Linked DNA regions of Daphnia pulex. The protein of the gene in region 2 interacts with the protein of the main gene of each other region in a pairwise test. Links are inferred from orthologs where the notes say so. Each region holds a gene or a part of one and is shown on either strand. Other genes may lie near its edges.

Region 1 (5,181 bases), on a different chromosome or scaffold from region 2:
TTTGGGGTTACAGTTCCTTACCTGTTTAAATGAAGAAAAATCCGAATCTTGGGATGCTTCTAACATTTCCTTGATTGAACTGCTTTCTTGCAACCACGTTTAAAGTGACCAACGTAGCCGTACACCCAGGTATGACGATTAGGGAATCGAGAAACAAAAGATAACACTTAATGTGTACGGATATTTCGGTTATCAAAGAATTCATTGCTGAAACATTTTAGCACAGGCTGAAATGAAATCCTAACCGACTATTTAGCTTACGACCAGCGGCAGCGAGAATTCAGAATTCTAACGACAACGAGCAGCAGACGTACTTTCATGGAAATGAGAAGCGGCGTTGCCAATATACGAAACTCAATCGCCTAAGAATACAAAAAAATTTCAAAAAATTTGAATTCAAAGAAACAAGCACAGAGAGCACCTCTCCATGCCCATTGCTCTGGTAATAAGTGATTATCTGGGAGATGTGATTATCTGATATCTGATCATGATTGGCTATCTTTTCTAAGTCGTGTTTGGTGAGAAGAAATAATTTTGGGTTAACACTTCTATTAATTTCAATTATCTTTGTATTTTGATACGCGCTTGATTTTTCAAAGATGCACAAGAAACGTACGACGATTCATAAGCAACAAAACTAAGATAGAGGGCACACAGCGTGAAATGTTCCTTTTGTTTTTTTTTCATAAAAATTCTGGATTGAACGAAATTATGGGGGAGTGATGTGACTTCAAAAAATTCTCTGTAAAAATGATGAGATATTTAAAAAACCAAACTACTACAAAAACCGAATACTTGTTCCAATGGACAAGGCAACGAGTTACACGAATTGATGAGCAAATCACTGTACTGTGAGACTTACTGTCTTGCCTTATTTCGTATTTGAAAAAAAAAGAAAGGTTTTATAGGGGTGCCTTGGTCCGGATCATAAAACATAAAATCAGATGAAAAATCAAGAGAGCACACACGTATCAAATGCACCATCAGCGGGAAAGGTTAAGAGGAGCAAAGGGACATCATTCAAATGGCAAGGAAATAATATACTGCACATATGATATCATAAAAGTCGGGGAATGCAAATCAACCGAAACATGACATGACAGAAAAGAGAGCAATTGGATAGCAAGAGAGTAATGATTTCTTCTCCTTTACTTTTAACTTTCTTGATTTTTTTTATGTTTTTGTTTTCTTTCATGGTGGCAGACAGAGAGCTGATTGGTATATCGAATTATTTTAAAATGAGACAAACAAAAAAAAAGTACTACTACGGGCGGACGTTTGACACGCGCTAAACTGGAGAGTCTTTGGCCACACTGGACTTGGACGCGCTCTTCTTGAGACCGTTGTTGATGTCTGTCACATCATCCTTGATCAACTCCTTCTGGTCGTCACTAATCAAATGTCAATCATTAAAAAAATTATTAATTAGTACATTTCAGAGAAAACATCTTGGCGAAGAAAATATGGAATGCGTAAAATCAGTTAACACATCACCAAGTAAACTATGATGTGACTCACAGCTAGGCAAAGAAGAGCATGCCATTTTTGGGGGAGTTGTTTTGCGTGTGTAGAGTGGGTTACGATAGGAAGATGAGAAAGAAGAAAATAAGAAGAAGAAGAATGTGTTTCGGCTTTTAAATGTCGGAATGGAGAGGCTCGAATCGTCTGTTTAACGGCTGGACGGGCTCCCGACTAGTCGGTCCTCTTCCAGTTGACCGATCGTCTGTTGCCAACAAACCGGCGTTACTAGGACTATTAGTCGGCCAGCGAGTGGTTACTGGGGTTTTGTGCAGTTTATCGCCAGCGAAACGCAGAGCTCTACCGGAAATAGAAAACGATATGACCGAGCATGCAGAATAGAGGGGCGCAAAAATAAAATAAATGCAAAATAAATAGTAGTAAAATAAGTGGACCAACTCACCAATAAATCAAATGAAACAAGAAGCTGTAAATAAACTACGGGGAAAGACAACTAGATCACAGATTTCCAAGCCAGAAAGAAAGCCAACACCACAACCGACGATCCAAAAGAGAGCGTTCACGAGGAGAGAGTTAATTGGAAGAACGAATTAATACTTGATCAAAGTGGGACTAGGTTGATCGACTTGGGCCGTCTGTTGCTGCTGCTGCTGTCGTTGGTCTGCACGGGGTGTGTCGCGGGAGGCATCCTGGAACTCGACCGTCACTTCTCTCAGCGGCGTTTTCTCGTCACTGAGACGCAGATGGATTTGTGTAGACCCAAGCAGAGACAGACAAGAGACAAAGGAGAAAGAGAAAACATACATAAGACAACTACAAGAAACTGGTAATGAAACGGCTACAAAAGACAATAAGGTAACGAAATTACGTCCAGTCACCACCCGAGATCTTACAATTCTTAGACAAAAACTCATTCTGTTTCACAGAGATAATTAGTTAAAGACAAAAACTACAAATCTGCTAGACGCCGACAAACGGAAAGAGTTGACTTGTGAGTCGATCAATGAAGAAGCTAACTTACTTGTGTTCCTCTTTGCCACCTTCCATGAGCGCTGCATTTTTGTTGCTACCGTTCCGACCGCTGCTCTTGTTCCGACCTGATCGACTGCAAATCATGTACGTCAAACCTGAAGGAAGAAATCAATTGAAACGAATTTAAAAATGGGATTCAATTAGATTAACGGGGAATTTTTTCGGGTGAACAAGCAGTTGCTACGACGAGCGTTAGATGGCGTCTCTGGAGTCAAAACAAAACAACACTCGGCTACTACCTTCACGCCAACGTAAAATAGGTTAATCCCCTTTTCTCATTTAATCGTTTTCCTTCTCTTTCGGCGGTTGGTTCAAAAATTCTTTCGAGCACTTTCCCGAGAAGTATGTAATTGCTGAGCGGAGCGAGTACTTTTATTTAGTAGATGATGGGGACATTCCAAAACTGAGGGAAAAAAAATTCCCGACAAACTCTGCTGTTGTTTCTTTATTACTCCGACGACAAAATTCCCTGAACGCGGAACGAGGCGGCAGTTTTTCTTTTTATTATGGCGTGCGCTATAAAAAAAAATGGGAAGGAAAAGGGGGAAAAAGTCGAGCGAACCGAGAAAAGAAAATTGATGATGTCTGGTCTCTCGTAATGACATGCAACTCGCTCCAGGAAAGCAACAATGGAAAATAAGTCGACAGCTCAACACACACCAGCCGAGTGGTGGTAGTAGCAGTCGTAACAACTGTTGTATAGTAGTTACCAACATGAAAATGACGTCACACTCCCGTCGGCGTAGAGTTCGTTCACACCACCGTGAAAATGATTAACGAGTGGGAATGTAGAGAAACAAAAGAAATACACATGTTTACCTCTCTTGTTGACAAAGTAGCACGAGACGTCGATGATCAAGGCGATAAATATGAGGACGACCACTATGACTCCAATGATGACGAAAGTGCCGGTCTTAACTCCTGGCGGGGACGACGAGGCAGGATCTCGAGGCGAAGCGGTGGACGGTTCTACTTCAACTGCGGCAGGGTCTATAGGAGAGAGAGGCAACGCACCACACCCCATAACGCGACAGACAAATTCGTGTGTGAGAGGTTATTTGATATTTTCTGGATGTTTTTTCTTTCGTTCTTTTACATTACACAATTTTGGCTTTGACCTCTCTCTCTCTCTTTTTCAACTTTTTCTCTTTTAATTTCGTTAATTGAATTAAAATAAGCAAAACGACACTGAAACATATAAACAGTCTCTATGTCACTTTCTCACGTTATCTGTTTGTCATTTTTCTAATGGCTATAAATCATCAGGGGGAAGAAAATCTATACAATTCTAGAGAATAATATGCAAATGTGTGTGACGACACTACCCCCACCCAAACCAATGCGACTTTTTGGTTATGAAGACAAAACACGACACAACAAACGACGACGAACAGACAAATAACGTATAAGCCAGTCACGGGGAAATGGATGGGCGGAGGTGATTGGGATTTGTGGGAAAGAGCAGAGAGAGCTGTAATATCTATATTCACTACTATAACGCCGCAGAAAAAATGATTATTTATAAATAATCGGTCAAAGTCAAAAACTTTTTTTTTTGTAAGTTTTTTTGTTTTGTTTTGTTAGAAAACGTGATTTTCAACATTATTATTGGTTCACTTCAACTACATAATAATACTTGTTTAATTTTGTTGTTGTTTTTTTGTTTTTTCTGGGGCGAATAAACAAACCGTGTATTCTGGAAACTTTCGTCGTTTTTATTTTTTTCAAAGTAACTTTTTTTTGTATTTTATTAATTTTTTTGTTTTGTTTTGTTGGGGAGTTTTTTTTTCCAAATTTCCTTTTTAGATCTCTCGATTTCGTCTCAAAAATGGAAAAGATGTACAAAAGAAAAACAAAAATTCAAAAACGGTTTTTTTTTCTCAAAATGTTTTGTTGATTTTCTTTCTTTGTTTGTTTGTTTTTTTTTCATTTGAGACAAAAGTCACGAGAGATAGGGGGAAAAATGTGTCGGGATTATTTAATTGTTGTTCCGGAAATAAAAGATTATATAAGTTGGGAGGGCAGGGCAGGAGGAGGAGGAAAACGAACATGACAGCAAAAAACATTTGGGCAAAACAGTAATCTCTTATTTCTTCTCATTTTATGTGTACCGAGCAGAAGGGATGAACGAAGGAGGAGTTGTTGGAAGGGAGAGAAAAAAAAGAAAAGCTTTTAATTCTTTTTTTGCCTTTTTAAACGAGAGATCACTAAATAGGCATCTGAAAATTTCTTGGGAAGTGAACCAATTGTTTGTAAGAAAAATAAAAAAGAATCGTCCATATTTCTTTTTTTTTTTTTTTGATCCGATAAGTATGTGTGTCTGTGTGTAGCATATATGGAAAACAATCCAAAAGGTTCGACGCAAAGTATTTTTGGGATCAAGAAGGTTCTTGAAATAAAAAAAAAGAAATAAACAGGGGGTAGAAAAAAGGAGGGAGCAAAGGAAAACAAAAGGAGAAAAGAGGGTTAAAGATCAAAGAGGATCAAAGAAGCCATATTAGATCAAATCAAAAGAGGCCATAACATGCACATTTTTCTGTTGTTTCAGATAGAGATGACACGTACGGTATGCATACTGAAGTATCGGAAACGAACACAAAAAAACAAAAATCCCTTCTATTTAAAAAAAAGATATTTTAGCCGCCAAGCGTTAAGATTTGGTTAAAAACA
Region 2 (5,932 bases):
GGTGAAGTAACTCGTAAAAAAAGAATTCCCCGATGATAAGGAGAAAAGTAGATAAAAAAGAGGTGTGTGTGTTCACAAGGAGGAGAGTGAAAACTGTTTTTTTCTCTCTTCTCCTGTGGAGCGAGTATTCCCAAATAGATGTCGTTGCAAGTCCCTAGCGTTCGGTAAAGGATTGGTGGAAGTTACTTTTTGGGCGACCCTTAAAACATCTTCCTTTTCTTTCTCGCCTTTTCTTTTAAATAACAACGCCAAATCCCATCCCGTTTCTTCTGCATGGAACATTGCATCATAACCTGAAGAGCAGACGACCAGGGAACTTGCGACTCAGCATATGCACGTAACGACGACGAGAGCTAAGCGAGTGGTTACTGGACTGCAGGCGAAACAGAGCCAGAAAGACGGACGAAAAAAAAAAGATCGGGATGGACAAGTGGAGCGCAGCAGAGCGGAGACGGTTGGAGTTGACATCCAACTTGGGGTGTAGATCCCGTAGGGTCCAGGGCTTGGTCAAAAAGGGGACAGGAATCACTAAATTGAAAATGGGATTTATATTTCGTTTCTAAAGGAAACGAGAAGAGAAGAGAAAAAAAAATATTGGAATAGACGAAGAGTGGGACGGTTTGTCCGAAATCGATCCAGACCAGACCCGAACCAAGTTCGTCCCTACAAGGAGCTAAAACGGATCAATCGATTCCCTTCCAATTTTCTCCCATCTTCCATTGACGTCGTCTCGTCTCTTCTTCCATTTGGCCAATCGATTGGCCCCACTCCAATTGCCTCTTGGGAGGAACTTTTCTATTTTATTTTTCATCGGGAAGGTAAAGAGGAGACGACGAGAGATGGGGAGAAAGAGAAAAAAGTAAGTCAACAACAAATCGACCACACGAGCGACAATCGATACAAACGAGGAGAGTAGTACGACGACATGGCTGAAAGCAAATCATTTGATTAGTTTCGATTGTCCACATGTTCCTTCTATTTTACCTTGCGGCAGAAATCGAGGATTTCAATCTTGTCCTTCAGACAATAGCTTTTATTCTCCAAATCCGAGACCCACTTTCCGGTCGAGTCCATGTACTGCGGATGAAGCGGGTTGCGGAGGTCGCAGACGACAGCCACTTGGGGCTCCACCTTGATGGGGGCCACATCCGATCCGAATGATCCAGCGACAGCCTAGATATATGTGTGTTATTAAGAAAAGCAAAGAAAAAAACAAATTACATCAACAACATCAATAACAGCGGAGCAAAAGATAAGAGGAAAGTCAATTGCACGTCGGCCCCTCTCGCACAGATGTAGTAGTACATAACAAGACTTAGTGGGAAATAGGAAAGCAAAAGGAGGGGAGAGATATTATTGATTGGATCCATCTCCTGCTACATCTCTGAAAACTTTTTTCCCCCTTTTTTACAAAGAGCTCAATCAGTTTTGTTTGTATGCCCACACACACACGCACACATAGGCCGGTCTGAAAGCAACTAGCTTACTTTAGAAATTTCCTCTTGTCAGTCTTTAGCTACTCGTTTTTCTTCATCTTCGTATTTCGTGTGTATACACATCGTCTGTTCTGGGCCCAACTCTTGATTTATGTGTGTTACTCTCGTAACCCCAAGGTAAATAAAAAGGCGGTAGTGGTACAGTAGCACCACAAGAGCATTGCCAACATGGCCGACCTCATTTCTTTCATTCAAATACTACAAGAAATGAAATATTCGAACCAATCACCACGGCGAGAGAATGGTAGGTACATGAAGTGTGTTTCAGTTCAGCAGAAAATAAAAAACAAAAAGAGGAAATAGTGTCGAGTTCCACGGAAAAAAAAGGCCCCTCGGCTTTTTCAGTCCCCCCAAAGCATTTGAATGGCCCTACGGAAACGCGACACCTACTTTTCCCCTTTGTGTGTGTTTCCTATTTTCCCCCCCCCCTGATTATTTTGACTTTTTTTCTTCTTCACCACACATAGGTATATGTGCGTGTCATGTAAAAGAGAAAAAAAACCGAATGTGTGTGTGTGTGACCGTCACTGGCGGAAATGACTAAAAAGGGGCCGACTCCGGGACTGAACTCTCATCCCCACACGACTCGAGCGAATATGTGCGCCATCAATCGATCGGGGCCTATACACATTTTTGTGTTTGTGTGTGTGTGTGTGTGCTGGAAGGGTTGATTAATATTAGATTGGACTAGAAAGGCAGGCGGGCCTGATTAAGCACGGTAACGAGACTACCAACACAAAACCAAACTCAAGTCAGTTCTTCTTCTCCCCGTTCAAGTTGTTTTTAAGGACTTTTGGCTTTTTGATCTTTTGTGAAAATAAAAATGGAACTATTTTCTACGAATAGGAAGAAACGGAAGAAGAAGGGCTTGGCCTTTTGCGGAAGTCTCTAACCTTCTCCTCCACCACAGCTGTTCAATTAAGAATAATGGCAGCTGGTGAATACTAAAGGGGAGAGACCAATCTTCCCCCATTTCTTCCTTTTCAGCTGCTCTTTTCTTGTGTGTGTGTGTCTCTTCAAAAAAGGAAATAACTCGGGGAATATAATTCTCTTCTTAAAGTACAAATCCCCCCCTTTTTTTCGCTGATGCTTGACTTGTTCCAACTCTTTTGTCACCGACGAAATTGAACGACCGACCTGAACGGCTCGTCGAATGTTCTTTGCCTTGGCGAACTGATGATGAGGTCGATCGATTCCTTTTTGTCTCGCAACACACACACACACAGACCTCGTCCCCTTTCCATCTAAACTCGTCGAATGTCCCCCCAAGTCATTCTCTCTTTTTTTCCATTTTATTCGTGGATAGCAAACTAAAAAACGAGACGGGCAAATCCCCCGGCCTATAGCTGAAATGCAAAGAAAAGGAGCGAACTATTTGTTTTCTTGCTTCTGACGATTTTACCAACGACTGGACGTGCGAAGGACGTCTCCCTTTCAGATTATAGAATAAATAGCAGGGATACACAGAAGGCAGCGACAGGGCATGGACAAGGTGAAGAAATATGAGATGTTCTGTCATCTAAGGTACCTAATCAAAAGCTCGAGCCTGATCCATGACATGAGAAGGAAAAAAACACGAAAAAACCCAGAGGGGAGGATGAAATGTGACTGCCTTTCAGACACACATGGTGTGTGTATGTGTGTGTGGTGGGTTTTTTAATCAAACTGATCCATGCAGAGTCATGCACCTCCACTCCCCTCTGGATTCCTGAAACAACGGGACCTGCTGATGTTGACTGAGACAATGAGGTGTAACCAATCCCTCGAAAAGCTCCAGCTACAAAGACCAAGAACGAGCTGCAGCCTGCAAAAGTCTGAAACATCAGCCATCGTGGGGGAACCTAGCTCTCAACAAAGGGAAAATGCCAGACAAAGTGAAAGACGATAAAGGTGTGTAAAGTTAAAGCATGTAAAGAGTTATGAAAAGGGGGACACGAAGGTCGATCAGCCAAGTTGCCAGGCGCATAAACGTATATATACGCAGGGGGGAAAAGCTTTATGGGATTTCGATACTAGAAAAAAAAGGGCCGCGTCAAGGCGAATGGCGGATGGACCGAGTCACACACACACACAGACACAGGGCTCACACACACACAGAGGGCACACACACACACAATCGATTGTTTTCTATTTGTTTTATGTCGAGGAGGGTGGAGAGAGAAGGAAGAAATGGGAAAAGATCATGGGAATCCATTTGTAGTTTGAAAAGGAATCTATACCTCGACGTAGGCAAAAATGTCGGTTACACTGATGGCGGATAGGACGATGGCGATGAAAAACACTTTTAAGTTCCACATTTTTGTTGCTTCTTCTGTGTGTTGAGAGGGAACAGAGGAACACACCCACACTAACAACGAAATGAACTTTCTCGCTGCTCAGCTGCCTCTTTCTGAACTGACAGAGTGTGGACGATGCCAGGCTGCCAGATTAGTTTGCGACAGCCGCCGCTGAGGGGCAGCACCGATGCGACCTATTTCACTGCGCCTGCGCGCCACATTTGAACACGAAACTCCCAACTTTCTTCTTCTTTTTTTATTCCGTTTAAACACATATATTATAAAGGAAGTTGCTGGCATTTGGAAAACTAATAAGGTAAATTGAAAATTGAAAACAAAAAAAAAAATAGAGAATTAAAACTGCCGTTGAGTTATACAACACTCCGCTCCGCTGTATGATTTTTACAAATTTTATTGGCCTTTTTTCTTCTTCTTTTTCTTCTCCTTCCCATATTTTGTTTCCCCTGCCTTTTGATTGAAGCAGTCGAGATGAAAAGCTGCGATTTAATAATATGCAGAAAGACGGGAGGAGCAATTTACGAGCTCCAAATGAGTTTTCCTTCCGAGTTCCGTGTCCGGCTCCGCCTCCTGTTTCTTCCTGTTACTTCCTCTGAAACGGAGCAAAGAAAATGAGGCAATTTACCAGGAGGTCGGGAGGGAGAGAGAGAGAAAGATGTGTCAATAGCGAATGTTTGAATGTTGCTCTCCTTTTGAAAAGAAAACAAAAGCATATAACGAGATTTTTGGGTACACACATAGACGAAGAAGTGCATCGTCGTATCGTTAAGGTAGGCAGCGCCCATACGTATACATACTATATAGCCCACAATACAAATGCATCTCTCAACTAAAATGAAAATGAAAAAGGAAAATAATAACAAGGAAAAGAAGAAAAGAATCGAAAAGGAGCCGGCAGTTGGCGTCGTCATCGATCCGCACGAAGGGACTTGTGACAGTCAGCACAAGTCACGAACTACACACACACACACACCGCGCCCGTCTCCAATATAGTAAAGTGTATATTGCTGTATACATATATATATATATATCTATGCACAGTGGATAGACATCCATCAGCTAGAGCGAATAAAGCAAAAAGGTGGTTGCAGCAGCAGCAGCCATCATCATATCGAATCGGTGAGGCGATGGTTGTGTGTGTGTGTGGTGATGCGGCTGGGCGGTGGCGGCCCTGCTATCGATTTTCCCGTCCGGGTCCCCCCCACACACACACAGCACTCATGGCGGTCGTCGTCTCTTTTCTTTTGCTCCCACCTTTTATTTTCATTCCCTCTCTCTCTCTCTTGTGTGTCGAGTATCTATCTCGATAGCTCGCCCGCCATCAATAATTCAAGTGCATCGCAGCCAGAGGCCGCGGCCGGCGTCTCTCTATGGCCAAAACCTAAACGACTTAGATAGAAGACCGTCCTCTAGACTACTATAGGCTATATGTACTAGACGCCATAGCTTTTGCCGATTGGCTTTCTCTATGTGACTACTGCGTGTGGACTGTGTAGAGCTTCACACGTCCACAAAAAGCGACGACTGCACACGTAGATATCTCTTCCGCTCGTCTCCTCTCGACTCCAGTAGCACTCGGTCCCGCTGCTGCTGTGTGCATGCTGAAAAGCATATAGCGACCGCGTCCGGCTCTGCTGTGTGCTGGCCTCTTCTATATGGTGGGGACGATTCTGGCCTCCTTTTGTGTTGCCCCCCCCCCCTTTTTCGACTGGAAAACGCCAGTGATTATGCACGTCGCCGTGGCAACGCTCGTTTTCGCTTCCTTCGGCGCTGGATGCGTGATGACGCTCTAGCACAAGTCAATAACACTCGCCACCGCCGCTATACTCCGCTGAGACTGGGCTGCTGTTGGTGACAGCGGCAACTCAAATATATTTTGGCCCAGCACTCGGCTATCTATAGACAGTCGACTATGGCTGGAGAGAGAGAGAGAGATATTTTTTTGATTATTATATTCGCATTGATTCGATTCCGCACGCTAGATTTACGCGCGCACCATATTGGCCAGTTGCTGCTGGCCCGTCCATTATTACTCTCTCCATTTCACTTGTGTCTCCCAGTCCAACTCTAAATGGACAGTCCATTCTATTTGGGTGGATAAAGTCACAGACACTAACCCCCTCCGCGCCAACGCGTAATTGA
Region 3 (5,616 bases), on a different chromosome or scaffold from region 2:
CTAAATTAGAATTATAAATAGACCAACTTGAAACACTTTGAGGGCTCGAGCTAATCCTCCCGGTTGATTTTTTAACGAAAAGATCATCGTATTGGTTTTGGTATCGCCAGTTTTGGGCACCATCTAATTGTCATTAAACAATCCATTTAATTGTTTTTAATTAAAATAAATGATTAAACATACTTCTCGATCGGTGTGATAAGAATCCTTCATTTTCCACTCTTCTTCGCCCATCCTGTACAGCCAAAGACCGAGGAGTCCTTTGCCGGATGCGCTCATTTTAAAATACTTATTGGTAGAATCGCAGCAGAGAGAAAACCTGACTATAGTATATAAAAATACGACACACGGCGGATGATGTATAGAAATGAATGCAGGAAGGTTGAAGACGGAGCAGTAGGCCAGCAGGTTTATATACCCCCCCCCCCCCGAGTCCGACGCACCCCCCGTCCGTGCACCGTGTTGACCCACCAACCGGCCGGATGGTTCTTGATTCGCCCACGCGCACGCATCCAATTCTCATAGCGCCGATTGGCTTCATCTGGATATCGAATCGTATAGAGAGAGCGTCTTCCCCATCCAGCAGGATCCATTTCTTCAACAATCCTTTTGGCTTGTGTATCAGCCTTTCAACGATATTTTAGTCTGCACGGAGATATGCCTGTCGATTGTCTGACGAAACCAATTGTGTGACGGTTTCAAAAAACCGTAAAGACCTGCTGTGTATAGTAATAATGATCATTACGCGCTATTGTTATGACGAGATACTATACGTCATCTGCGAGCTTGAATAAAAAGTTTAGATTTCTTTTTCAAAAAGGTGAACAATAGTCGTCTTTTGAACATCACTGACTACTATAGCAGTCCAGGTTGGTTGAACAAGCGGCGTCATCTTATATGCACATTTGTCGACGTAGTTATACCGAAAAAAGAATTGCCAGAAGCTTCTCTCGAATTGATTACTATTCAACAGTCAGTTGGTTCAGTAATCAGATGGATATTGCAATTCTCTAGAGTGGCTCTTGACGATCTGGCGCTTTTCGCCTTGATGGCTGCTGCTGCTGCTGGGCATCGAATGGATTTATCTATCTCCAGGCCCTATATAGACACAGCGTCGACCTACTGGTGGGGGAGAGAGAAAGTGGATGGGAAGAAAGAAAAAATAAAAACGATTCCATAATCAGCGTCCCGACGCTCAGAATCGTTTATAATGTATCAACATCTATTCATTCTCCCCAACGGCCAGAGTGCTGGATGAACCTTCCGGTCGAATGCATTGGCGCTCTTGTATAAACAAACGCCAGATAACAAAAGGTTAAAAGAAATCAAAGAATATTACACTTATTTGGGTGCCGTTTGTTGAATCTATTTCAATTCCGATCGTTTTATACATATTCCCAATCGCTGAGAAGTGATTGAAAACTTTCTGGGTCCCAAAGCCCAGTGCTGCTGACGTACAGTATTATCTATTCCGCGTTTTCTTTATTTTATATTTTTACAATTCCTCCGCGCAGCAGCGCATTCCATCATCTGATTAAGGTCGCCGATATATCGACGATATGGGCGGACAGAACGTATCCGCTGGAAGGAAAAAAAGAAAAATTGGCCGCGTGATCTACGATGTGTGGTTTGGTGACAGTTAAAAGAAATCCCATCCGTTATTACATAGGACTCTGGCCATTCCACCTACACGCACGCAAAAAAAAAGCTCAGATTATATTCGTGTATTGCGTGATATAGCCGACGAAGATTATCATCTGGAAACGATGTTAAGTCGTGCCAACGTTTAAGTATTTCTCACTTTGGCGCTGCGCAGTGGCCTATACGCCCACACGCTGATTGAATTAAAACGTAGATACTAATCGGCGACGACGTTAGTGACGGAGTGTTTTGCTTAGATGCCCATTCCTTAGATTAATCGACCCGCGTCGTGCGTGTTGAGTTTTTATCAAAAACACACAGGAGGAGGAACATAAATTGACTTGAAAAAGAAATTTGGGAAAAAATCAATATCTCCATGGTCTCGGGACACATTTCTTTTCTGGCTCACGCTATGGCATCCTGCTGGAACACCAACCACCCCGTGAGCATGCGCAATCCGGGGGACTAACTCGGCAGCAGCCACACCTCTTTCTACATACTCCCGTTGGCACGTATAGAGGATCCGGCACGATCCAGCACCCCAAAGTCGGCCGTATATGTATACGCATCGGAAACTTATTCGGTCGAGACTTTGCTCAGTAAATAGCCGAATTCTGTAGTAACGAGTAGTAGTTGTTAATATACACACCCCCAGCTGCAGGCTGCATCCAGGCCGCTCATTATTATTATTTGCCGAATTCAGTTCTTCAGCTGCTGTTTTTGGTTGTAACCGAAAATCATGGCCGATTCCGAGTTTGAAGAGTTTCGTCTGCATTTCGATCGATTACCTCAGCACATACGAGCGTCAGCCAAGTGCTACACGTAAGTCGTTGTCATCATTTGACTTGGCTGTTTCATTGATTATGTTAGACTAGCGGGGTGGGGTTTTAGTATATTATCATATCGTTTTGTTTTGCATATTTATGCAGTTTGGTTCACGACATCACGCCCTGTGACGATTTGCCGAATTTCGAGGGCTTACTCTCATCGTGTGCCACCGAGTTTCCGTTTGCCAAACGGGAATCGACGATCGTTGAAGAGGGAAGCACCGGAATTGTCCAAACTTCCGTTGGGACGACAGAAAATGTACCAGTAGCTCCTCATCCAGAAGATGGGGCTGCCAACGATCCTGTCAAGGAAATCAATCACAAGCCACTCGAAAGGAAAAGAAGAAAACTACCAGAAATCCCAAAAATTCATCAAAGTATACTATCAAAACATGTTTTATCGAAATAAAAAAAGAAAAGGATCAATATCTAATCAATTATACACAGAATTGGATTTCAAACGGACTCCATCACTCGCCGATGAGCTATCGCAATTGGATATCGGGTCGTCGTGCATTTCATTAGTATCCGAACACCGTCATCGCCAATTTTTCAAGCCTCACCTTCACTATCGAGGTACTATAATTATTTCCAATTGTCCAAATAACAAAACAATCATCCAAAGTTCCTTTTATTAAAAATAAACAGCAGGAGAACACAGTCCTTGTGAATCTGACGTTTGGCCAGGGACGGATGGCGATTCCGGACGAGACTCGACGGCTCATTCGCCAGAAGGCTCAAAAGGTTATTTTCCCCCCTATAATTAATTATTGAAATTGATAACGAATTGAATTTTAAAAATAACAGATACTGCGTCTTCGACGCCGAGCGCCGAATCACTCCCGGTGCTGACCGACGTCGAGGCTACACACCGCGGTCTGCACAAATTCACCGGCCGACACTCTGACGAGATAGACATCGACATCGGAGATCCTGTTTACGTCCAGCAGGAGGCCGACGATTGTTGGTGTGACGGGATCAACCTGCGAACTCAGCGTCGAGGAATCTTCCCAGCGGCTTACGTCGTCGACGTCGATTACGATTTCGATCCCGACGGACGGCGGGTCAACAAGGAGCGCTACGCCCTGGATTTTTTGGGATCAGTCGAAACGATGGTCAACAAAGGGGAGCAGGTGATCTGTTCGGCCGTTGAACGTATGCGCAAATCTCCCGTCACCCACCCGCAGCCTTGTTTTCTAGAAATCTCCGACCAGGGACTTCACGTCATGGACAAGTGCAAAGAAAATGACGTAAGAGTATTGTCTAGCTCTCTCTCTCTATTTCGTTTCAATTAATTTTAATTCACGGTTGGAAACACACACACGACAGATGGACCGATTCCCGTGTCACGATTACTTTTTCGCTTTGAAAAATGTCACGTTCTGCGGGTTTCATCCGAGTGAGCAGCACTACCTCGGCTTCATCACCAAACATCCGACTGAAGAGCGGTTCGCCTGTCATGTCTTTCAGGGTAACGGCTCAACTCGTCACGTAGCAGAAGCTATCGGGTATTAAACATAGAAACGATTATTAATTTTCTATTATTCAAAATGTAAAAATGATATCATTTGGCTGTAGGAGAGCGTTTCAACGGTTCTGTCGTAAATTCATCGAGTTGGCCTACCCGATTCACGAGTTCTACATGGAGTAATTTATTCATCTCAGCACTTTTGATAATCGTTATTATATTTACATTCCCCCATACTTCCTCTAAACTCTCACATCTCTCCTTGTGATAAACGGAGTCGCATATTTCTTCTCGTCTTTTCTAGAGTGCTTCATTTCACAAGCTGCTCATTCAACGTGAATTAATTAAATACCAATACAGTCACGACGAATGGTAGAAAACTGGTATAACCGAAATTTATTGAAACCATTTCCACGGGCGAATAATACTGAAATCAAATTCAGGGACATCTACTTCGAAAGAGAATGCAAATTTTTTCTTAAAACAAAACGAAAATGCAATGGAAAAAAAAAGAAAGAAAAAGAAACACAATGGGAAATGGGACAGAACTGGAAGATTATGCTTTGAATTTTGGGTTCCACAATTAATTAGATTCAGAGATCAGTGGTTAAGGCGTTGTTTTTACGCACAACGGCCTTGCTTCTGGTGGCAGGCGAAAGTTCATCCAGTTGGCCGACGTACAAAACTTGTTCGTTTAAAGTGACCATCCCCTTTTTGGGTCTCATTGAGCGCCTGACTGGAGTGGCGACCAATTGATATGGGCACTCGCTGGCTACTGATACTCTGTTGGAAGCCGTATTGAATTTCATCGGGGTCTTCGTCGCTTTCTTCTTGAGGCTAGGAGTATTGTTCTCTTGTTGTTTTTGACTAAACGTTCAAAGACAGTCAATCAGAAGGAGTTTTTTTTTTTTTTTTTTAAAATACGGAACTGCATAAATGGAGACACAACTTACTCGATGGTATCGAAGACTTGTTTGAGCTTCAGTTCGTACTTGATGGTCGTAGAATTAAAAGCTTGAGCCGAGTCCAACAAAGGGCGGCGGGGAGTCAAACGCCGGCTTTGGCGGATCAAAGGAGTCTCCACTCCCAAACTTTTAAGCAGCGGTGTTCTCTGGCCCGTGGGCATATTTGATCCGATGCGCAACAAAAAGCCGTCAAAGAACTGCTTCATCGTATCTAAAGACTGGAGAAACAAACGGGGGTAAATTTTATACACCGCGCCATCGCTTAAAATGAGGCCCAACTGTTTATACTGTACCTCGGTTTTGTTTTCAAGGGCTTGGCTGTAGATGTCAAGGGCTTCCATAGTGTTGCCACGCCGCTCTTCCAAACGGGCTTTAATGTCCCAGTAGAGAGCCGTGCTCTTGACTGCTGGGAAAGCTGCTTCTGATTGATTGAGCCAGCTCTCGATTTGGGCTTCAGGATAGACGGGCTGCAATATGAAATCATTCGCATTATATTAGACAGCTCTCTCGGGTCAGGAATTGTTGGAACATACCTCGTTGAATAGGGCCGAAATGGTCTCCATTAGCGAGTCGACGCGGCCTTCCTGCAAATCGGTGAGATCCAAGACTGAATCTCTCTTGTTTATTTCCGTCGGAGTGTGGAAGTTGTCCGTCTCCTCATCGATCGCAGAGTTTTCCTTCAAAATCGGCGAAGCTGCGGGCAAATCTTGGTTCT

What was found.
Region 1: the proteins of amyloid-beta-like protein (region 2) and fasciclin-2-like interact in binary tests that used the Drosophila melanogaster proteins (3 or more experiments, as listed by UniProt). The link is inferred for Daphnia pulex from reciprocal best matches to the Drosophila melanogaster genes Appl and Fas2.
Region 3: the proteins of amyloid-beta-like protein (region 2) and JNK-interacting protein 1-like interact in binary tests that used the Drosophila melanogaster proteins (3 or more experiments, as listed by UniProt). The link is inferred for Daphnia pulex from reciprocal best matches to the Drosophila melanogaster genes Appl and Aplip1.

The regions. Positions count from the first base shown.
Region 1 is NC_060017.1:6,491,022-6,496,202, reverse strand, and holds the end of fasciclin-2-like, read right to left. Parts: exon of another isoform or gene 3,701-5,181; intron 3,502-3,700; coding exon 3,331-3,501; intron 2,607-3,330; coding exon 2,501-2,606; intron 2,212-2,500; coding exon 2,077-2,211; intron 1,819-2,076; exon of another isoform or gene 1,724-1,818; coding exon of another isoform or gene 1,693-1,723; exon of another isoform or gene 1,519-1,692; intron 1,392-1,518; coding exon 1,289-1,391; 3' UTR 552-1,288; downstream 1-551.
Region 2 is NC_060020.1:2,957,300-2,963,231, forward strand, and holds the start of amyloid-beta-like protein, read right to left. Parts: upstream 3,938-5,932; 5' UTR 3,794-3,937; coding exon 3,716-3,793; intron 1,174-3,715; coding exon 985-1,173; intron 1-984. UniProt on the Drosophila melanogaster protein: During development, plays a role in the regulation of the neddylation pathway. Appl and APP-BP1 interact antagonistically during development.
Region 3 is NC_060024.1:10,402,392-10,408,007, reverse strand, and holds JNK-interacting protein 1-like, read left to right. Parts: upstream 1-2,145; 5' UTR 2,146-2,380; coding exon 2,381-2,463; intron 2,464-2,570; coding exon 2,571-2,845; intron 2,846-2,915; coding exon 2,916-3,044; intron 3,045-3,116; coding exon 3,117-3,212; intron 3,213-3,275; coding exon 3,276-3,718; intron 3,719-3,797; coding exon 3,798-3,976; intron 3,977-4,046; coding exon 4,047-4,119; 3' UTR 4,120-4,224; downstream 4,225-5,616. Other genes in the region: tryptophan 5-hydroxylase 1-like, read right to left, coding at 28-123, 184-279; uncharacterized protein LOC124200172, read right to left, coding at 4,530-4,803, 4,890-5,119, 5,195-5,368, 5,435-5,616. UniProt on the Drosophila melanogaster protein: The JNK-interacting protein (JIP) group of scaffold proteins selectively mediates JNK signaling by aggregating specific components of the MAPK cascade to form a functional JNK signaling module.